Linked DNA regions of Mus musculus. The protein of the gene in region 4 purifies or fractionates together with the protein of the main gene of each other region. This does not show direct contact. Links are inferred from orthologs where the notes say so. Each region holds a gene or a part of one and is shown on either strand. Other genes may lie near its edges.

The links.
Region 1: the proteins of Riok1 (region 4) and Wdr77 purify together in Homo sapiens (affinity purification with mass spectrometry; 5 studies listed by BioGRID and IntAct, with this or other methods). This does not show direct contact. The link is inferred for Mus musculus from reciprocal best matches to the Homo sapiens genes RIOK1 and WDR77.
Region 2: the proteins of Riok1 (region 4) and Coprs purify together in Homo sapiens (affinity purification with mass spectrometry; 3 studies listed by BioGRID and IntAct, with this or other methods). This does not show direct contact. The link is inferred for Mus musculus from reciprocal best matches to the Homo sapiens genes RIOK1 and COPRS.
Region 3: the proteins of Riok1 (region 4) and Clns1a purify together in Homo sapiens (affinity purification with mass spectrometry; 3 studies listed by BioGRID and IntAct, with this or other methods). This does not show direct contact. The link is inferred for Mus musculus from reciprocal best matches to the Homo sapiens genes RIOK1 and CLNS1A.

The regions. Positions count from the first base shown.
Region 1 is NC_000069.6:105,965,235-105,970,634, reverse strand, and holds the end of Wdr77 (methylosome protein 50), read right to left. Parts: intron 4,871-5,400; coding exon 4,762-4,870; intron 4,279-4,761; coding exon 4,210-4,278; intron 3,473-4,209; coding exon 3,313-3,472; 3' UTR 875-3,312; downstream 1-874. UniProt on the Homo sapiens protein: Non-catalytic component of the methylosome complex, composed of PRMT5, WDR77 and CLNS1A, which modifies specific arginines to dimethylarginines in several spliceosomal Sm proteins and histones.
Region 2 is NC_000074.6:13,886,335-13,892,404, forward strand, and holds the start of Coprs (coordinator of PRMT5 and differentiation stimulator), read right to left. Parts: upstream 3,938-6,070; 5' UTR 3,902-3,937; coding exon 3,833-3,901; intron 1,493-3,832; coding exon 1,426-1,492; intron 575-1,425; coding exon of another isoform or gene 393-574; exon of another isoform or gene 1-392. UniProt on the Homo sapiens protein: Histone-binding protein required for histone H4 methyltransferase activity of PRMT5.
Region 3 is NC_000073.6:97,694,724-97,700,593, reverse strand, and holds the start of Clns1a (methylosome subunit pICln), read right to left. Parts: upstream 3,938-5,870; 5' UTR 3,865-3,937; coding exon 3,725-3,864; intron 1-3,724. UniProt on the Homo sapiens protein: Involved in both the assembly of spliceosomal snRNPs and the methylation of Sm proteins.
Region 4 is NC_000079.6:38,053,331-38,058,730, forward strand, and holds part of Riok1 (serine/threonine-protein kinase RIO1), read left to right. Parts: intron 1-2,831; coding exon 2,832-2,897; intron 2,898-3,806; coding exon 3,807-3,926; exon of another isoform or gene 3,927-4,047; intron 4,048-5,357; coding exon 5,358-5,400. UniProt on the Homo sapiens protein: Involved in the final steps of cytoplasmic maturation of the 40S ribosomal subunit. Involved in processing of 18S-E pre-rRNA to the mature 18S rRNA. Required for the recycling of NOB1 and PNO1 from the late 40S precursor.

The DNA of each region.
Region 1 (5,400 bases), on a different chromosome or scaffold from region 4:
TCTGTTAAGTTGTATGTGTAGAACTGAGGCTTAGCATGTAGATGTAAAATACATTCTTAAGTATAGTCTTCATTGCATTGCTGAGAATCCACTCTAGAGAAATTACTACTAGAGTGGAACTTTTTCATTTGAAACTAATTGTTAATGCTTTTAGCACAATGCCTCCAAAATGAAATGCTTGTCTAACACAACAGGGACAAGGGAGTGAGTTTTCAAACAATCAGTGGCTGGCTCCCACCAGAACTGTTTACTGAGCCATTGAATTTGACAATTCATTCCTTACACACAGAATGGCAGAATATCAAAGTAACCCACAGTAAGTGGAGGACCACATCAAAGACTGTAAGACCATGCACTGTGGTCATTCTAACTTACCAGTTATTCCTCCTCTCCAGAAGCGAATTCCTTCTTCAGCCCCCTTGGGCTGCACCTATGCTATGTCCACACAATGAAAATACCTATGCTTCCTCACAGAAGTCTAAAATCTCACAAGGAAATGTGTTTGGATGCTCAACAGTGGCCTACTTACCTTGCTTACTATCCGATTTTTCCTATTTCCAGTACTCTAAAGATTAGACATGAAGTCCCTTTTTTTGTAATTAGTTTTATTTACATTTCAAATGTTATCCCCATCCCTTTTTCCTCTCCAAAAATCCCCTATCTCCTCTCCCCCCTCTCCCTGCTCCCCAACCCACCCACTCCTACTTGCTGGCCCTGGCATTCCCCTATACTGGGGCATAGAACCTTCACAAGACCAAGGGCCTTTTCTCCCACTGATGGCTGACTAGGACATCCTCTGCTGCATATGCAGCTAGAGACATGAGTCCCACCATGGGACATGAAGTTCTTGAGACAACAACAAAAGCAATTTCCTAGTTCTAAACTCCCCACCCCCAACATTATCTTTATTAGCAATAAGCAACTCAATACAAATGTTGATTAGATACAAATTGTCTTTAGCTTCTTCCACACATGGATTGTTAGATGCCCTAAGCCTTCACAATACACAGACATTAAAAATGTCTTTTTCTATTCACATTTACTTCGTGGGCTTAAAGCTAAACCAAACAACTACCAAAACGCAAAGAAAATACAAGACATTATGCACTGTCCACATACAATACCTTTTTAAAATCGGAGCTGTATATTCTAAAAACAGCAATGTTACGATGCTGTGTGAAGTTGATGACTTTTAGAAGGCCTCTTTCTGAATATCCTGTCCTTCCTTATGTATTGCAAAAAGATAGAGCCCCCAAGCAGATTTGAGTTTGGGTACTTTTTTATTCATGTGCATACATGGAGACAACTTGCAGTCAAGAGTCCTTTTGCCATGTCAGTCCCAGGCTTGATGGCTAACACTTTTACCCACTGAACAATCTCCTGGCCCTCACTGGGTATTTTTGAAGCCATGACAGTGAGCCACAAGAAACATCCATATAGCTAGCTCTTCACTAGAGCACCAGGGGCCAGCTGTGCTACAGAGTGAGATACCTAGAAAACTAGTAACACCTGTCATCACCCGAGACTACACAGATCTTCAATGTTTCTTCTCCCGAGCACCCACCACTCTAGGAACAAGTCTCAGACCTTGGCTGGCCAGAGGTCAGCAGTTCAATAGTAGTGAGGCTAAGTAAGAAAAACAAAGCTAAGGAAATGTGTTCACTCTCGTTCACACATTTGAACAGTTAACACTAACGTGAAAAAAACTAAATGCTTTTCAACGATCAAAATAACCCTAGTGTTACCTCACTGAGGCTTGCAGTGCTGGAACTATTCTCGAGATAATGACTTGCTACAACTCATATTCCTGATCTGATTTGAGGTATATTACCTTGTATATCATAATATACTATGTAGAATTATGCCTGTCATTTACTGTGGCTTTGACTAAGTTGGACATCTGTGGCACGAATTAATCAATGTGGATTACTTTTACCAATACAGACCTAAAAGGAAACAACCCGTATTTACTCATTTCTTTCAGGCTTTTCCTCTATTAGTCTTAGCCCCCAAAGCAGGCCATGTAAATGCACTACCTGTCCTTACCTAAGTGACACAAAGCACAAGCTTTATCTCTAAGAAGCAGAAACTGATCCTACCTATCTTATGCCTTCCCTGAATTTAGTAACAATGCAAGTCCTTGCTTCCACAGTCCCAACCCCAGGTGACCTTGACTGCAAACTCTCAAGCGTTTTGCTCGAGGGTAATTACAACAGAGGCTCATGACTGGCAAGACTAGAAGGGACGATCACATTCCTTCAGGGCGCCCATTTTATGTGCTTTTCCTAAACCCAAGTTGGAAAGCTCCAATAAGATCAGTTACAGATCCACAGTCTCTAATGGAGTGGAATACAGTAGATTACAAAGACAGTGGGCAGCTAAGTCTGACACTGGTGATTCACCTAAGCGAAGCAGGTAATAAGTAACAGCTCTGGGGAGGGAAAATCAAGGATAAAAGTCTTTATTTCACCTTTTAGTATTTCCGACAGTTTCCCTGATGCTGGATCTCAAATCTTAGGAGTCCAAAAATACATTCAGACTTCAGCTCTCCAGAGGAAGGTACCCAGATCAATTTTTAGGTGGGAAAAATGACAGATTTCTCTGTAACAATCCATGTCAATTTTCCCACTTCACTGAAACACTTTTAAGTGGTCCATCATCCCTACAACTTATCTGTGAAATCTAGGACAGGAAAACACTCATCTCTCACACACAACACCAAGGAAGGAAAGGGTGAACAAGAGCTACACTGCAGGGCCAAATTTATTCACCCAGAAAATGGATTTGACTCAGTATAACAGGGACTTGTACAAAACTGTTTTGTCTTCTCAAGGTACAGTGGGCTAGACTTTTGTATATGGAAGTAATTCCCATAATAGTGAATTAAACTCTATATAAAAATAAGTTACGCACCTCTGAGTAGTATGAAGTATTCCCAAAAATCTAGGGATACCCACATTCCATATCCCTAACATCGCCAATTCCCAGACATGGGAAGCATTAAAATCCTCTGGTCACTTTGTCAGGGGTAAAGAGCATTGCTTTGGGAAAGCTGAAGAATAATTTTCTCCACTCCAAACTATATACCGCACTCACACGTGTACTCACATACATCCATTTACAGAGGAAGTTTCTTCCTCTGAGTCACTATGGGATGCAGCCTCCCTCAGGCTGAGAATCTGCCTGTTACTGCACGGGGCTAGGGAGGAAACATGCTCTACAAGGCTCCTGTGCTCTCACACATGGAAGGCAGGGGCAATCGAGTAGTCGCTTACAGACGGAGGGCTTGTTTTGGTTTTTCTGAAATCCATTCTACTCCACAACACTGTCAGGTCCAGGGTTTGGGAGAGGCTCTAAGGGCACAACATGGTGGATGACCTGATGGTCCCAGCCAACTGTGGTAAGAAGGGAGTGATTGAGTGGAGACCACGTAGCATCTCTCACAAAGTCTCTGTGGGCTCGACTTCTAAACCTAGAACAAAAGGGGGAAAAACAGGGTGTGAGATAGGGAGAAACTACTTGGAAAGAAAACCTAGTAACATACTCAGGACACATTTTACCATCTATACAGCCCCATTACCAGGCCAGTGGGTGTTAGATTATCCAACCCAGTCTACTTTCTTAGGTGAAGACACAGTGGACAGAACAAGGAAGCAATAATGTCCACAGTCAATGGGAAATTATGGCAGAGGGATACATACCCAGGTCTCCCATCCAGTGCCTTTTTTTACCCTACACCAAGTTCCACTTCTCCAAAGTGGCTCCCTAAATCAAGCTGGAACACTAGCCAGAAAGCCTACAATCAGAGAGCTTTCAGCACTCAGTCTTGCAGACACATAGCTGCAAATGGAGAGGATTTTGGGGAGGGGTTGGGGATCTCTGCAGAGAAAGATGAAACTTTTCTTGTACTTATACTTATTTTTAATAATATGTAAGTGTGTATTTCCATGTGGGTGTGCATGCCTCTGAGTGCAGATGCCCACAGAAACCAGAGGTATCATGTGCCTTGGATCTGGAGTTAAGAGACAGCTATGAGCAGACTAATGTGCTTACTAGAAACAAAAAGGAAGTACTCTTAACTGCTGAGCCATTTCTCCAGACCCAACAAAGGATGAATTCTACTTGTATGTTCCTGAAGAGGAACCAGACCTGCTTGCCCACTGGTCTTGATCCCCGATTCCTGACCACAGGATTCTACTTCAAACTTACACCTCAGAAAGGCTTGAATCCAGCACAGCAAGTGAACAGTCTTCACTGAGAGAAGTCAGGAGGGGGACACTAGGAGAGGACACAAAAGGAAAAGAAGATAAAGTCCATAGATTCCACAACCAAAATCTATCAGGGCCAGCCCTGACCCCACTGTAAACTGAGACAGGGGAGAAGGCATCCTGATGGCCACTTGAGGTTTAGGTCTTACTACCATTACAATCCCAAGGAAAGGCAAAGAAAATGGAACAGGGCTCACAGAAACCACACTAGCAGCCCACCAGCCCAATGGCTCCTTCTCTACATTAGCAACAGTTACTCAGACTCACAGGCTTTGAGCAGGAATGAGATTATATTTTAGGTCTTCTCAAACTATACAAACCAAATAAAGACTACACTGACAAGCTTGGGAAAGCCAAGTTAGAGTACTGCCCCAGCTAAGGACCAATGGAAGCAGCTTTGCCAAATAGATACCTCCTCCCTGTGTCACTCCATTCCTACTCCTTCACCACTGTCCCCACCCATCCCTTCCAAGTTCCTGGTGACACACAGCACCTGTGTGGGGAGAATACCAGTCTAGTGACACCCTGGGAGTGCACAGCTGAGCTGAGGGTACAGCTTGCATTCTTGGTGTCCACAAGGGAGACAGATCCATTCTCGTCACCTGCAGAAGAAATAAAGCACGTCACAGTGGCTAAGAATTCACGCTCCTGGCTAAGTATAGTATACACCTTTAATTCTAGTATGTGGGAGGCTGAAGCAGAAGGATCTTTGAGTTCAAGGTCAGCCTGGTCTACTCATCAGGTTCTAAGACAGCCCAAACTTCATACAGACCCTGTCTTGAGGAAGAAAAAAAAAAAAAACAACAACAAAAACCATACTTTGATGTGAGCCAGACCTGGATTTGAATGAATCCTAGTCTCTCAAAATGTAGACAACAGTTTCCTTTGTGGTATAGAATCAGTAAGTCACTATGTGGCTGGGACAATTAACTACAAACTCTTACCATATGCAGTCACACCACAGCAGAACATAATTCCATAACAGCAAGCACTTGCTCCACAGCTCACTGACTTCTAACCATGCCCAGAATAAAGAAGCTGGAACAATGAGGAAACAAACCCACTAGGGAAAAAAAGATGCTCTCCATAGCTACCTCAAACTGGCATAATTCATGCAGTGCCTGCATGTGCT
Region 2 (6,070 bases), on a different chromosome or scaffold from region 4:
CTGGCAGAGTGTACTTCCGCTATTCAAGCCCATGCCCCACTTTTCCTTTTGAAGCTTGTTAGATGCAAGTGCACAAAGGAAAACAGAACGGAGCCTGTCCAGTCCCCGTGTTCTTCCTCCTGAATTCAGGGAAGCCACACAGTAACGTAACAAAGCCTACAGAAGGACAGTAGACCTCCAAAACATGGGTTGCTATGGTGATACCAGGTCTGAGGAAAGGAAGCAAGTGGCCTGAGAACAGCCATGGTGTTAAGACTGTCATCACAGCTATAACACAATTCAGTGGAGAGCACGGAATCTGGAGACAGACTGCCTCAGGTCAGATCTGTTCTGAGCTGTCTGACACTGAAGGTAACTAACCCTGAATTACCACATGCTCTGGCAACTCCGCTTCAAACAGTGCACACTTCAGACAAGAAAAGATGTTCACTGCAGCACCATTCAGCCACCAAATGCCACCAGGGGATAAATGATCCACAAAGTGCAGGAAACCTGGTGGTGGGCGTGCTCAGTCTTGTGGGTGAGGGGTGCTGACGCAGGCTGCTACAGGAATGGACCCTGGAAATGTGCTGAGCTGGAAGAAGCAGGACGTAAGAGACCAAAATTTCCTTTACTGTGAATTCACACTTGCATGTCCATACCAGGTAATTCATTAGGGGTGGGGAGCTATCAGTAGTTAGGGGCTTGAGAACTAAAGAGTGGAGAGTGCTCCAGAGACAGGGCTTCCTTTTGGGGTCGTGACAACATCCTAGAGGTAGCAGTGACAGTTGTACACACTATCACAGAGCGGAATGAGCCAGGTCATATAGTTAATATAGTTAACAGGTAAAGCCAAGTCTATATCTTTTGCTGTATTTTAAGACTTTACTATGTACCTTAAGTTTCTCATTGGTGAAATAGTCCTCAGATTGTTGTGAGTTTATTTAGGGGGAAAAAAGGAAACACTCAGATCTGTGCCTGAAACACTTAGCACCTACTCTGATCATACCCATGCTGTCTGTACCCAGGCTGTATAGACCAGTGCTACCCAGTGTAACTCAGTACATCACAGAGCTACACAGTGGCAGTGTCATTACAGATCTTCTCATTCAACACGACGAAGTACCCTACTTTAAAGATAAAGCCATCTAGAGATGAAAAAGGCAAGCCCAAGGACTACAACCTGGGTCTGAAACTGAAACAGTCTTCCTAGCTACACACACTAGATGCTTTTCCTCCCAGTGAAATGGGGTGGTTTGGGTCCACGGTCATCCAGTACCTCCTCGAAGCTTCTAAACCAAGAGTCCCGCTGAGACAGTGGGCAAAGAAGGTAACTCAGTGGCTAAGTGGGTCAGCTAGCAAGAGAAGATAGACAAGACAGCGGGACTGTGCTGTCTCCATCTCTTCCAATGGCCACCCCAGCCCCAGTCTCTGCCGTCTACTTGCCTAGTCGATCCACGGCCAGCTCAGTCTCCGTCTCCCGACCAGAGAGGTCAGCTGTGGCAAAGCCAGCCTGTGGAAGAAGAAATAATTACCAGGAACTTGGGTAGTAGGACATGTCACTGCTTTGAAGCTCCAAACCCGCCCACCCATAATGCCCTGCACGATGTAGAGTTTGCACACCCTTCTGAGGACCTGGCAAGGCCTCAGAACAGGGCCTGTAGGCTACAGGCATCACCCAGGAACACTTCTCCGTTCTGACCGCTGGGAGTGCCCTTTTGCGGTGCCCAATGGACAGCTGTCACAGCTGTCAGTTTTGCTCTCAGCCCCAGGCCCTCTTCAGAAGTCTGGGCAGCAGGACTTCTCCAAGCTCAGAGACCCTAGAGCCAGATGGGACAGCTCCCTGGTCTCGGCTTGTAACCTCAAGTCTGTGTGTAAACTCTTTCCTCTAAGTCCAAAAACACTTTAACTGCTCTAACTTCTCTTTTTTCCTGGCCAGGATTGATAGTTGTCTCCTGAACCTGCAACTTCTCTGCACACCTTTGCCCTTCTCAGGTCTTTATGTCTAACAACTCCTTCCAACACAGCCATTCCACAGCGGTCCACGGGAGAAGCAGCCTGAGTTCTACACACTGGAAAGAATACCTAACCCCGCCCCCCCCCCAATGCCAACCAGGTAATTTTGCGGCCTGTTGCCTCAAAGTTCCCCAAACTTTACTCCCCCCAAGGTCTCTCTGCAGTGGAAACAGTAATGTCCAGGGCTTGGATGATCAGGCTGATGTCAGTTGTTGCCCCACCATGCACGTAGGCTGTGACCTTTAGATACTGGAATGGCTGTTCTGATCTGGCAGGGGTCGTATGATGGAGGATATTTATAAAACATCTAACATATGTTGGAGACGTAGCTCAGTTGGTCAAGTGTCTGCCTAGTGTACACAAAGCTACACACTGATTTTTCCAACACTACATAAAACCAGGCATGGTGGGCCACTCTGTAATCTGAGCATTTAGGAGATAGGTGCAGGAGGATCAGAAGTCCTGGCCACAGAGTGAGCCCAGCTCCTGGGCTACATGAGACCCTGTCTCAAAAATATTACAATAAAGCCAACAATAATAACAAAACCACCTGTTAGACTGCAAGAAGTAACACTTCTTTGACTTAAATTGCAATATTTATTTTATTTGTGTATATTTGTGTGTGTGTGAATATACCAGGAGGATCCCCTGGAGAGGGAGTTGCAGAGGGCTGAGACATCTGTTGTGGGTGCTAAGAGCCAAGCCAAACTCTGTAAGACCACCATGGCTGTCTTTCCAGCCTTCATCCTGCATGTAAATAAACTGTACTTAGCACTCACCCTAATTACCGTTCATTATCTAGTCACCCCTGAGCTTTAATGACTCTATCTCCTGTAGTCCGTGATAACCACAGACCACTGCTGCCCCCTATGGTGCTGGACCTCTTACTTGAACCTCACGCCTATCTCCCTACTCCTGCTCACCCTTCCACTTAAAAGCTTCGCGAGCCCTCCACTGCCATCACAGACCAGCAATGCCATTCATATTGACTCTCACGTTCCTTTCTGTAAGAAGCCTGCTCTCCGACCCAAGCTCCAAGGCCATTTGCCTTGCCCTTTCTCATATCCAGACCTTTGCTGGGCCTACCCTCTCACCCAAGAACATCCTTTCCAGATCCGCCCTAACAACATCACTCTCCTATTTTGCAAAAGTGATTTTCTTTGCAAATCTATTGGTACTTGAATAGCAGCTTCAAGTACCATCACTGAGGCTCTGGTAAGCGTTCTATTCATTCATCCAATTAGGATACACCAGGCATAGGTGCGGCTTCTGGGAAACAGGATGTCTACAGTCAAGAAGCTCGCAGTAGGTGGATGCAATACGGGCAGGTCATGGGGAAAGGCTGTATGGCGCGCACTTAAAAACAAGTTTCTGAAAACCCGTGTCACAAGGGGACCATTCGTTTCATCAAATGGGAAAAAGCACGGGTGACATCTGGCGTCCAAGGTCAGCTACACATCCCCACCAATGGCCAGAGGTCCTCAAGGTGAGAAAAAAAAAATCCGTTTCCTCGCAGCTCCCACCTGACCCAGCCCCCTGCGGCTGGAGCGGGCTCAGGGCAGCCGGCTCCGGGAAGCCAGCTCCGCGTTCCCTGCATTCACTCCCGCAGATGCTCCCCAGCAGCCCCAGTGTCCCTCTCCCTTCAGCGCCAGCCACAGCCTAGGGCTCGGGTCCGCGCGCGTTCCCGCGCCCACTGCCGTTACCGGCCAGGCTCTCTGCGTGCACTCGCGCGGCCCCGGCGTTTCCCGGGTGAGCGGCCTCCCGGCAGCGCGTGAACCCCGCGGTTTCCCGCCTGGGTGGTCGCGGATGCCCGCGTCCCCCACCCCGTCGCGCTCACCTCCGCGCTGGGGGCCTCCTGCGAACTCCGCTCGCCCGGGCCCCGACCGGTGGCTGCCTGAGGGTCCATGCCCGGCCGCCCACAGCCAGGCGCCTGGGACGCTCCGGCACGTGACGGCCGACGGGCTGCGGACAAGCCAATCGGCGTGGGGCGGCGCGGCGACCGAGGGGGCGGGGCGGCGCAGGGGCAGCGCCGGACGGCACGCCCACCTGCGTTGTTGTGCGGGACCGCAGGCTCTACAGCTCTTTCTGACCTCTAGTGCTGGTTTCGAGCCTTAGGCCTGATTGGGCACTGAGCCATCCCAGCCACACGGGGCTTTCCTACTGCATTGTGAAATGACACATAGAGCCCACCCGGGTGTCACACAGTCACAGCCGATGGGCTCCATCACTTTTCTCTCTACCCAATCACAGGGTTTTCCAGATTGCAGGCTGCACCCGCACTACAGCATCCCTTAATGAGGGACTTCAGCAACCTGAAATGATCTGAAATGATAACCCAGCAGCCTGGAGACATGCTGCTTTGATTTAATGATCGTCTTTAAAGTCAATCTGCAAGGAACCAGGATAAAGGAGCAAAACAACGTGCCACCACAAAAACAAGGTGGTGTTAGGAACTTAGAGTCAAAAGCCAGTGCTCCAAGTCAGTAATGTGACTTTGTTGAATAATTCTCCGTTTTCCGTTTCTCTTAGGAGTGTCAGAGGCTACAGCTAAAAAGTTTTGCCCACATGACTACTGGAACAGGAGCTGGACAAAGATGATACCAGTAGACATGCTAATTGGCTCACAAAGCCTCAACCCTACACACAGAACTATAGGCAACTAAGGATTGCTGAGAGTGGGAGAGATAGCCTTCCCCAAGGAAGAGTACCGTTGGTTATCCAGTACCCAGTGGTTGGTTATCCAGTATTCAGTGGTTGGTTATTCAGTACCCAATGGTCTGCCCTGGAAGCCCTACACATGCAAGTAACATTGTATAGACTGAGCAGATTGTATTTAGGTACATTCACATACACACACACACACACACACACACACACACACACACACATGCACACATACACATTCACACATTCACACATACACATTCACAGATACACACATTTGTCACACATATACACATACAAATGAGCGTTCACACACAACACATTCGCGCGCGCACATTCACACACGTTCACACATATATTTCTCACACACACATTCACACATACATTTCTCACACATATACACACACATTCACCCATACACATTCACACACGTTCACACACACACACACAAATAGATTTCACACACGCACACACACAAGCGCGCGTTTGACTAACCTGTTCTCAGGAGATACTTGCTTCCCACTGCATGATTGCTATTCCCACAGCAGCTTGGGGAAAGGAATCAGAAATGTTTACTTACCTTCCAATTTTGTTTTGAACAGGAGTCTTGCTAGACAGCCCAAGTTCAATTAGAAATCGAGATCTTCCTGTCTGTTTCAGCTTTCCAAGTGCAGAGATTACACGTGTGAGCCACCACACTCTGACTGAAAGAGAAATCTGCACCGAATGATAACAAGCTTTAAAAATAGCACGCACTGCCATGACTTAGAAACTACAAATCCATCTTCCCAGACAAGACATGCTTATACAACGTACTTGCTCCTTTTTGAGCAACATAATTTTACTGAAAAAAAAAAAGACAAAAAGATGGATAATTGTCCTGTAAACTAAAAAGGATGAAATGTCTTCTTCTACAAGGACAGAAAGCCTATTGCATCTTGTGTAAGCAGACACCCAGGCCAGCGCCTCCATAGCAGTTTAAATGAGGACACATCTGCGAATCAATACAAGAAGTGGAGACTGACAGTTGGTTATTCCCGTCTCAGTCAACATTTAGTGACATTAGCCACCCCTGAATTATGGTGTTTACTTCTCTTCCTGATCTTCTTGCCTTATTTATTTATTTATTTATTTAATGTTTGAGTACTCTATCTGTACATACACCTGCATGCCAGAAGAGGGCATCGGATCCCATCATAGATGATTGTGAGCTGCCATGTGGTTGCTGGGAATTGAACTCAGGACTTCGGGATTATTTAAAATCTTAATCCAATTACATTTCAGGGTACTTTGGAGACCAACAATTCTATTTCAAAGAATATATTCTAGTAGCCAATCTCCAACGTGGACAAATAGTATTTCTACCTACTGTGTACAAAGAATCTACACACCATACAGCTGTTTGTTGTTG
Region 3 (5,870 bases), on a different chromosome or scaffold from region 4:
AATCTAAAAAAAATACTTAAGATCATAAACCGAGATATACCTTCTGCATATGGTAACTGTATCTTCTGAGGAACATGCTAAGATGTGTACATGTGAACTTAAGAGATGTCTGTAACTCTCAAACAGCTTAAGAAACAAGGCAAAATGTTAACTATTAATCATTCTTTAAGACAAAAAACATGTTTTGGATACATGCATGTGCACTATGGGTGTGCCTGGTGCCCACATAAGTCAGATAGGATAGCAGACCCGGAAGTTAAGTTAGGGATCATTGTGAGCCAGCATGTGAGAACCAAACCAGAGGCCTCTGCAAGAGCAACGAATGCTCTTAAACTTGGAGCCGCCTCTCCAGCCCTCAGTGAATGAATCTTTGTAAGGTACTAACAACACTTGTACCCACTTGTGCCTTTTAAGCTGTAAACTTTCCAAAAAGGAAAAGCACACACAAGAAGCCTCCCCTCCCCAAAAGAATTACAGAAAGACTCACTGGGCATGGTGGCAGCACACACCTTTAGTCCCAGCACTCTAGAGGCAAAGGCGGGAAGTCCAGGTGAACCAGGACTACACAGAGAGAGACCCTGTCTTAAGCAAAAAACAAAGAAACATCCCAGCAGTGGTGGTACACGCCTTTAATCCCAGCACTTCCTAGGAGGATTTCTGAGTTCCAAAACCAACCAACCAAAACAAAACAAACAAACAAGAAACCAAAAACAAACAAATCCCATTTTACATAGTATGACAGCCTTTTTCTTTTCTTTTTTTTTTTTTTTTTTTTTTTTTTTTTTTTAAAGACAGGGTTTCTCTGTGTAGCCCTGGCTGTCCTGGAACTCACTCTGTAGACCAGGCTGGCCTCAAACTCAGAAATCTGCCTGCCTCTGCCTCCCGAGTGCTGGGACTAAAGGTGTGCAGCACCACTGCCCTGCTATGATGGCCATTCTTGGTTGTCAACTTGACTACATCTGGAATTAACTAAAAATCCAAAAATGGAGGGCACATCAGTGTGGGGTTTTTTGCTTAATTTGAAGTCGGAAGATCTACTTCTAATCCCGATCCCGAGTCAGGAAGACCCATTCCAGGTCTTGGGGATGCCAGCATCTACTGAGACCAGCTGAGACCTCCAGCCCCTTGAACTGAGCAGCCTCTGGATTCCTGGACTTTCCCTTCACAGCCAGCCATTGTTGGATTAACTAGACCACAGCCTCTAAGTCATCCTAAAACATCCCCATTCTCAAAAGACAGAGAGGGGGCAGGGATTATGCCTACTAGAGAGTTCAGGGTATAAATGTGTTTAAAAAGCCGGGCGTGGTGGCGCACGCACTCGGAGGCAGAGGCAGGCGGATTTCTGCGTTTGAGGCCAGCCTGGTCTACAGAGTGAGCTCCAGAACAGCCAGGGCTATACAGAGAAACCCTGTCTCGAAGCCCACCCCCCCCCAAAATAAAGGTATTTACAAAAACAAACCCCTCTTGATTTATAGAGCAATTTTGATAGTGGACAAAGCCTGGGAGTTTACAGAGTGAATATGAAGGAAAACAAGCTTGATATGAAGAGGGGTGATGAGTTTGGTTGGTGGATGTGAAAGTAGTTGGGCTTCTGAGTTTGTATCTGTGGAGCATGGTATCAAGGGGTATAAAAGTATCTTATTCTCCTGTAGTAATGTCATCTCTAAAGTTTTCATTCCTGTCTGCTAGCCTAGGCTTAATCCTGGAAGCTTCTAGCCTCCATACAATCTAATCTAGGCATAGAATATTTATAGACTTAGACTTACTGCTGAATAAACTCACCCTTTCCTGTTCTCTCAAAGCTCTAACTGGCTGGTTTAACTCAGCTGTTCTGGTGCAAACTCCTCTCCAAGCTGACTGACTCAATCGGGTTTCTCTCAGCTTCTGACTGAATTGTTCTGCTTGACATCAAGGTAACTCTAGCAATCTGTCCTGATCTTCTGGCTCCTTCTTTTTCTCTAACCTGTCTCGGTACAACTGTCCCAGTAAAACCGCCTCCTTCCTCTCTCTGAACTGCTCTCTCCAGTAGCTTTCCTTTCCTCTTTTCTCCCGAAGGTTGGGCGTATCCTATTTGGTCAAATCTTTCTCGGATTTGATCATTTTTTCTGCCACTCAACTAGACATCACTTTCAAACATGGTGCTTCCTTCCACAAACTAACTTTACCTTCACTATTTGGGATTCAAGGTGTGTACTAAGGCCTTGTCTGTATTCCAGCCAGAGGCAATAAAGATGTGGACTAAAGGCTGTGCCACACCACACCTAGAAAAAGGTTTTTATCTAGTATACAATCTCATTGTTTACAGTGTGATCAAACATCCTGCAACACAAGGCAGATTTGGAATCAATAAGTAGGTGTTTACATACCCATTGTAGTCAGCTATATAGCCCAGAAGAGAGGCCAGGGAAAGTACCTTAGAGAGACACATGCTTCAAGAGTCTTCAAGTCTTTTGAAAGAAGACTTAGGAGAGAGAAGGAATGGAAGAAATAGACTGTAAACTGGAAAACATCTGCTGGGTATAAGCAGTAAGATCTTTGGTGATCTCCACAATTTCTTCTGCATGTGGAGTGGTGGAACACAGATATATTCCTAACTTTGACAAGATCCATTTTATTTGCCCATGTGTATTAGTCAGGGTTCTCTAGAGTAACAGAACTTACAGAATGAATGAATGAATGAATGAATCTCACAACTTCTTCCCTCCCATCCCTTTTCTTTCTCCCTCATGGCTACTCCAAACACATATACCAACCAAACTGCGCACCCACCCACATTTGTATTTCTAGTCGGTGTCTAAACACCCAGTCCCACTATCCACACTGTTCTCTGAACAAATAGCTCTTTACACGTTTATACCCTGGGCTCTGTAGTAGGCATAATCTTGGTCCCCAAGAGATTTGTTTTCCAGTGCCATGAAAGAAGGGACTTTGAATGTAATTAAGATTACTAATCTACTGATGGTGAAATAAACGAGATAGCCTGGATTTTCTAGGCAGGAGCAATGTTATAACTCGAGCTCTTAAAAGCAGAGGATTTCCTTTGTGGCCAACAAATAGAATATAGCAAAAGGTAAACCAGAGACTCTGAAAGACAGGAAAGAATGAGAAGAGAAAGAAAGAATGAAAGAAAGAGGGGGGAAAGGAGGGAGGAAGGGAAAGGAAAGAAATGGGGAGGGAGGGCGGGTGAACAGGAAGGTATGGGGTGGGGGTAGGAGGGTATGAGCGTGTATGTAGTGTGTATTTTAGTGGCATGTCTATGTTATTGTGAAAGTACTGAATCCTGCAGGTAGTGAAATAGAAGAATTCCTTCCAGGACCTGCACATCCAGGAGTCGGGTTCGGCTGGTTGTGACTCCGCCCTGCGTGGGCCTGAAGATGGTCCTTCCCCCCAGCCCCCACAAACACACACACTTGAAGCAGAACATCCCAGCTCATTAACCAAACGTCGTAACCCGTCACAATCTGAGCTACATATTCCACGCAGGGAAATCGTCTAGTTGACACGACCATTCCGAAAGCTAGGCCCACGGAAAAACTAACCGAGGCTCTGCAGACTCAAAACTCAACGTGACCACGCGCCAGGCTTGCAGGAGACAGGCCGGTTCGCACAGGTCGTTAGGGAGAAACGCGGGCTAGGGGACAGAACCAGCCGAGCTCGGGAGGGGACAATCCCACCCTGCCCGCACAATAGCGCCGGCCGGCTGGTCGGCGCCCCCCAACCTTACCTCTCCGCGATGTAAAGCGTGCCGGTGCCGAGCCCCTTCCCGTTCAGCACAGCCTCGGTGTCTGGCTGCTGCAGCCGGAGCCCGTCGGCCGACCCAGGCGGCGGGAAGCTTTTGAGGAAGCTCATTGCCGGGGAAAGCATCGCTCCACGCGAACCGAGAGAGGCGAGTACCGCAATCGCGGCTCGCACGGAGCTGCCCCGGAAGCAGTAGTCGTAGCCCGGAAGAACAACTTTCTCAGCGAGGGCCTTAGCATGCGGTTGACCATAGAGACGGGATGTTCTAGGCAACTCAGAGGTCCGCAGCGAGCCGGCTGGCTTTTGTCACGTGGCATCGGTTCCCCTTTCCCGCTCCTCTAAGGATGCTTAGAATAATCGAGTGTTTTCTATGTGGTTCTCTTTGAAGGTCATAGGAGCAAACCCCGAGAGAGGATGTATAAGGAATACCAAGCCTTTCCCAACAAAAAGCGGGAAGGGACCCAGGCCCCAGGAGTCCCTCGCCGAAGGAGGACTCACAGAAATAAAATCCACACGCATCTGGAGATCCCAAGTCTCCCGGCTGGGTGCACGAGTCTACCCTGCTTCCGCCTCGTCAGGCCTGTTCTCCTTGGGTTCACACAGCCATTTACCAGACCTCTTAGTCCCCACGTCGCCGGAGAGATCGAGCGCCCCATCCCCACGAGTCATGCCACGAGCACGAAAAGGTTACATTAATGATGGACAGTGCGCAGCAAGACAGTCAAAAGACTGCCCGAGGGAAAGGTAGGCCACTGGTTAGGAACCCTTGCCTTCCCTGTTCGCTAGGTCCCAGTGAATAAGAGCAGTGAAAACCTACAGGTTTGGTGAATAGAAACCCATAACAGAGACCTATAGACCACACAGCATACGGACTTTACCTCTTATATTTCTTCATGGATTCCTTCGTGGTTTTTGAGACAGGGCTTCTTTAAGTATCCCAGGCTGGCTTCCAATACATAATCGATTTGCACCGAACTCCAGTTTACTGGTACTACTATGAGCACCCATCACCACACTTGCTCAATTAATTTTTTTCTTTATGATACACAATATGAACACATTTTCTATTACCCACTTTAACAGATGGGACCTGAGGCATTAAACTCACAAGCTAGAGTTGGTGGATGGAATTCAGTCAGTTGACCTCTAGACTCCACTTTTTTTGGCTGTAGAATTGTAATATCTATGGGGCTAAGGCTGTTTAGGTTGGATAACATACATGGAGGATGTGATAGCAGTTTTATCTTTCTTTCTCTTCTTCCTCCTTTTTTCCCTTTGGATTCTTTTCAACAGAGGAATCTAAAGATTTTTTTCCTCACATATATGTATATACCTACCTACATACAGTCAGGTGTGAGCCACCCTGCCTGGGCGCAGTGACCCTATCTGCAAAGGCATTAGGCAGTCTCACAAGCTGACCCATGTCTCCAGTCAGTTCCAAGTGTTACGTTTTAAAATTTAGTTTGTTGTTAGTGAGACTAGGAGGCAGGTCCCCTGAACAGGAATGAGAAGGTGGGAGTGGAGTAAGGGAGGGGATGAGAAAAGATTCTAGAACTCTCTGAAGGTTAAAATCCTCGTCATGTGGATATAGATTGAGAGGAAGAATTTGTGACGATGAAGACAAGAATAGACAAAGAAGAGAGGTTAAATATCGTTTCTAAATTTCCAGTTTAAAACGTTGAGTAGGTGTGCTTTCTAAGTGGTAGATTTCAGAAAGAGGTTTTCAAGGTAGGTTCCAAGGGTAGCAGATAGAGTTCTTGCTGGATTAGCTTGGGTTGAATCCCCAGTACTTAAAAAGAGTAGCCTATGAGTCTGATTGGAGAAATGGTTAATCTGAGACATTCCCTAAGACATTTATTTGGTGAAACAAACAGTGCTTGGTTCAGAAAAGGAGCCCCCATGTATGTCAGAGAAAACTGGCAAGAACCAGTATAGTAGTTTCTCATCAATTTGTCTTAGTCTTCAGAATCATTTACATTGTAATAGCCCAATGGCAAGACATTTTATACAAGGTGCTAAGTGAAGAAAGAAATCTTAGCTGTGAAGAAGATCCCTCCAAGCACTGGGTGCCAGGCTCCAGCATTTTAATGCAAACCATCACCTGGAAACAACTGACAGAGCCCCGTAAAGAT
Region 4 (5,400 bases):
CATCAAATACTGAACCTGTACTTACCGACCCCCACCAGCTCCTGGAAACGGCCATTCTGCCTGCACTCTGCTTCTCTCAGTACTGCTAACAAGTAAAATCACGTTGGTTTGCTTTTTAATATGTATATGTGTGTGTTTGTGTGACCATATGCTGCAAGCGTGTAGATGCCCAAGGAGTCCTGATGGTATTGGACCCCTGGAGCTGGGGTTACGGGTGCTTGTGAGCGCTGGGAATCAGGCTCAGGGACAAGAGCAACACACAGGCAGAGGAAACACCCCAACTCAAGGCTGGGGAGAGCTGAGCAGCCAGGATTCCCCACAAGACAAATGCCGTGTGTTGTCTGAGTGCATCCTTTGGTCCCTAAACAGAAGTTTTATATTCTAACCTAATCCATTTGTGCCTTCCTTGTTAATCTTGTCACTTCTGAGTCAGGATTCTTATAGTTCCCCTTTCTCCTGGAGGGCCTGTCCACCTTGGCACTTGTGCACTTGTTCATCTTGCTTGGTCTGGCGAATGTTAAAACTCAGGTCAGACAGTTGTGGCAAAGGGTCTCAGGAGGAGCAGTGATTTCAGGAGCATTGTTTTCTCTTTAAATTTTTTTTTTTTTGAGACAGTGTTTTTCTGTGGTTTTTTTAAAGATTTATTTATTTATTTTATGTATATGAGTACACTATAGCTGTACAGATAGTTGTGAGCCTTCATGTGGTTGTTGGGAATTGTATTTAGGACCTCTGCTCGCTCTGGTCAACCGTGCTTGCTCCAGTGGCCCCACTCGCTCCAGTCAGCCCTGCTTGCTCTGTCCCTGCTCACTCTGGCCCAAAGACTTGTTTATTATTATATATAAATACACTGTAGCTGTCTTTAGACACATCACAAAAGGGCGTTAGATCTCATTACAGGTGGTTGTGAGCCACCATGTGGTTGCTGGGATTTGAATTCAGGACCTTTGGAAGAACATTCAGTGCTCTTACCCACTGAGCCATCTCACCAGCCGGAGACAGTGGTTTTTTGTTTTTTGTTTTTTTTAATATCCCCCCGGCTATCTCAGACCCTGTATAGCCAAGGATGAACTTGAACTTGCAATTCTGACTTTGTCTCTTGAGTTCTGAGATTATAACCACACCACAGCAGCCTGTTCTAGTTTATGTAGTGCTGGGGAGCAAACCCAGGGCTCAGTGCATGCTGTGCCCACACTCCTTGCAGCTGAATACATCTCCAGCCTATTTATTTGTCTTGTTTGGGTTTTTGTTTCCTTTAGATAGTCTTACTTTGTAGCCCTGGCTCACCTGGCCTTATGCTCCTCCCTCTGCTGCCTCAGAAATGCCAGGGTCGTAGTGCACCACCATGTTTGGCAGATTATGAACTCTTGAGGGACAGAAATTTTATTTGTATATTGTTAGTACCTGATTATGTACTAGGCAGCTACATGGTGTCTTAGGGTTTTCTTTGCTGTCAAGAAAAATCATTGCCACAGCAACACTTACAAAGGAAACCATTTAATTGAGTTGGAGTACAGTTCAGAGGTGTAGTCCATTCTCATCATGGTGGGAAGTGTGTAGCCTCACAGGCAGGCACGGTGCTGGAGATGTCGCTGAGAGGTTGTACACTGGCTCAGTAGGCAGCAGGAAGAGAGTGTGAGCCGCTGGGCCTAGCTTGAGCTTCAGTGACATACTTTCTAAAACAAGGCGTCTCTCCTATGCCAACAAGTCCTCATGTCCTAATCCTTTCAAACAATGCTACTCCTTAGCCTGTGGGGCCATTTTTATTAAACCACCATACATGTATTGACTATCAAAGTATTTTTTATCTCTATTAGTATTGATTCTATACTTTAAAAAAAACAAAATAAATGTTCTTTCTTTCTCTATATCTATTTCTGAGAGATATATTTTTACTTTAGTATGCATCCATATGGGTATGTGCACGTGTGTGTAGATGCTTGTACAGGCCAGAGGCATTGGACCTCCGTGGAGCTGGTGTTGTGAGCTCTCCAATGTGTGGGCACTAGGAATTGAACTCTGGTCCTCTGGAAGAATAGTCCATGCTCTTAGCCACTGAGCCACCTCTCTGGCCCTCTCCCTGTGTTTTAACTAGAGAACTGTTTTTATGAGTCAGAAGAAGAACCCAGTATAGAGTCTCTCTCCTTACAGTTACTGTTGCCCGCGCGACTTTATTGGTGATATATCCTGTGTCGGCATTAGGGCCACATATTTACCTTTCTTGTGATTCATGTCACTGACATTTCAAGGTTCAAGAAGTGGTTCATTATTGAGTCTCAGTTTCTTCTGATGAAAAAAGATTTCTGCTAATAGTTTAAAATTAAGTTTAAAAAAAATCCTTCTTAAGCTGGGCGTGGTGGTGCACGCCTTTAATCCCAGCACTTGGGAGGCAGAGGCAGGCAGATTTCTGAGTTCGAGGCCAGCCTGGTCTACAAAGTGAGTTTCAGGACAGCTAGGGCTATACAGAGAAACCCTGTTCTTGCCCCCCACCCCCAAAAAAAATCCTTCTTGTTGTCTTGGCCATGAGCTGGGGCTGGGTGTGTGACTTTGTGACCCTGGGCCAGTGCTCCACCACGGAGCTGCCCCCAATGTTGATTTTTGAAGAAGGCACTAAAGGTACCTTGAGACTAGAGGAGTTTATTCTAGTTCTTTTAAAATGACTGTCAAGTCTTTGGTAGAGAGCCAGTCTACATTGTAGAAGCTCACTCTAGTTGGAGAAGTGTGAAGACATGATACCTGTGAAGACTAAAAAAAATAGTTCATTACAAAATAAAAAGTGTGTCTTCTAGGGTAAATGTAAAGGGAAATAATTGTTTTGCTTTCTTTCAAAGGCTATGGAAATAGCATCCCAGAGGACCAAGGAAGAAAAGACTAGCCAAGATCATGTGGATGAAGAGGTGGGGGTTATTGTGTATTCACAGCCTTGGGGAACACTTGTGGGCTTTGCTTGGCACTCTGGAGTGTTGTGTTGTGTGTCTTTTCATATAAACCAGGCTGTCTTAGAACTTGATATGCGGTACAGGCTGACCTCAAACTAGCACTCATTCTGCTAGAGTTAGGAGTATGTGCCACCATTTCCAACTGATTCTTGTGTTACAGGAGTTTCCATGGTTTTGTTTCTGTTGGTAAAGCTTGAACTTGATTTTTAGACACAGGGTATATAATTTACATTCAGTTATATTGCTGTACTCAGCAGCCTTTTAGCCTGTTGTTCAGGCTTGTGGGGTGAGTCAAGAAGGAAAAGCCTATTCATGTGCAAGTATGAATTTTTAGATGGCCTATGTGCTCATTGTGTAAATATAACAGACTTTAAATACTTTGTTAAAAATTAAAATCGAACCAGTCTAAAGAAATCAAGACATTTTTATTAAGGTCCACAATAGGCTAATTATTATTATATTTATTATTTTAATTGTAGCTTATTCTCAGAAGTTTGTGGCAGCTTCATAGAGATATTCCTACAATGTAAGAGTGGTGGGTATTCAGTTGCTCACAGCCAGGCCGTCCTTGCTACCTGTCTATCCTGTCCTTCCTCAGATGCCCTTTGGAATGTGTATGTATGGGAGGAGTGTTACTCTAAGAATCATTGGAATACACTCTCTTTCTCCCCTAAGTCAGTTGTAAAATTTCATTTTTAGCTTACCAAATTGCTTCTAGCTTACCACATAGCAGACATGACCCCAGCGTGTGCACAGCTGGAGTGGGAGCCAGCATTGGCGATGAGGATACATTTCTGCACCCAGCTAAGGGTGCTGAGGGATGGGCAGGGTGAGGAATCACAGTTTGATTTTGCTTTCCTCTTTTAGGTGTTCAAACAAGCATATATTCCCAGAACCTTAAACGAAGTAAAGAATTATGAGAGAGATGTGGACATCATGATGAGGTTAAAGGAAGAAGACATGGCTTTGAACACTCAGCAAGACAACGTGAGTGGCCTGCTCTGTCTGGAGCCTGTTCTACCAAAGGAGACTGAGCGTAGTCCTGCCTGGTGCTCGTGAGACAGCCAGCTCCCTTTGCATAAGCTTCCATACGTGCTGCATAAGCGATGTAAGAGAGGGCGGTGCATTTCCATGTGTCAGAGAACTGTGATGAGAAAAAAGGCGAAGTCTCGGGTTAACAACGATCGTAGTGGGTTGATAAAGCTGTGCTTCATTTTCATACATATTTGAAGGAATGATTAAAATATTTATATCATTTTTAATTATGTGTGCGTGGGGGAAGGCATGCACACATGAGGGAATGCTGGTGTCCTTGAAAGCCAGAGGTGTTAGGGTTTATTGGAGCTGGAGTTAAGAGGGGGTTATAAGCTTCCCTGCATGGGTGCTGGGAACCAAACTCGGGTCCTCCACATGAGCAGAACAAGTTCTTAGCCACAGTGCATCTCTCTAGTTCCCCTGGGGGAAATTTTTTGTTGTTAGTAGACCAGAAAGTAACCTTTTAGGCTTTTTAGCCATGTAGCAAAATTTAGCTGTTTATATAAGTTTTTGTATAAAGAGTGAAGTAGTGTTCTCCAGCTTTTCATGCATGAAATAAAAGCATTAAGACTATATTACATGTGTGTTAGACATGTGTCAGCACGCATGCCGTGGTGCCTGTAGGAAGACTAGAGAACAGCTTTGTCGGCTCACTTCTCTCCTCCTTTGTGTGGCTTCTGCGGAACATAGGCAGGCTCTCGTGGCATGTGCCTTTATCTGCTGAGCTAGCTCTCGGGCCTAAAAGCGCTGTTATTCTTTATATATGTCTGTTGCCTGTGTGATTGCACATATACATCAGTGTGTGCCCTCAGGCCAGAAGAGGGTGTTGGAGCCCTTGGAGCTTTCTGAGCCACCAGATGAATGTAGGCGCTGGGATCCTAGCTCGGAGCCTCATGATTGAGCAGCCTGCACATTGAATCACTAAGCGTTTTCCAACCCCTTGAAAGCACTGTCAGTAATAACTACAGCTTGTGCCGTGGAGATCTACTGGTGAGAGTAGAGTAGGATTGTCTGTGGAGTACGTAACATTGCACTGAGTAAAGTCCAAATTAGTATTTGCTGTCATCTCGTGGGTTGCAAAACCCATCTGAAAACTCTCAGGTTTGATTGTATTGAGTCTGTGGAGATGCAGACCTGGGACACAAGAATAATGCATGTTCCTCTCCGTGTTACTGTGTGATAGATTCTGAGCGAGTTCTCATTCACAGGAGCAGGGTTTAGTCCATGCTTAATGGTACAGCATATACATATTATTGTCGGTTTCTATGTTTATATTACATTTATATGTATATATGTGATTATATATGTGTATATGTGTGTGTGTGTGTGTGTTATATATGTTAAATATATTATGCTTATATTCGTTTTCCTTTTGTTTTCAAGATTCTATACCAGACTGTCATGGGATTGAAAAAAGATTTGTCAG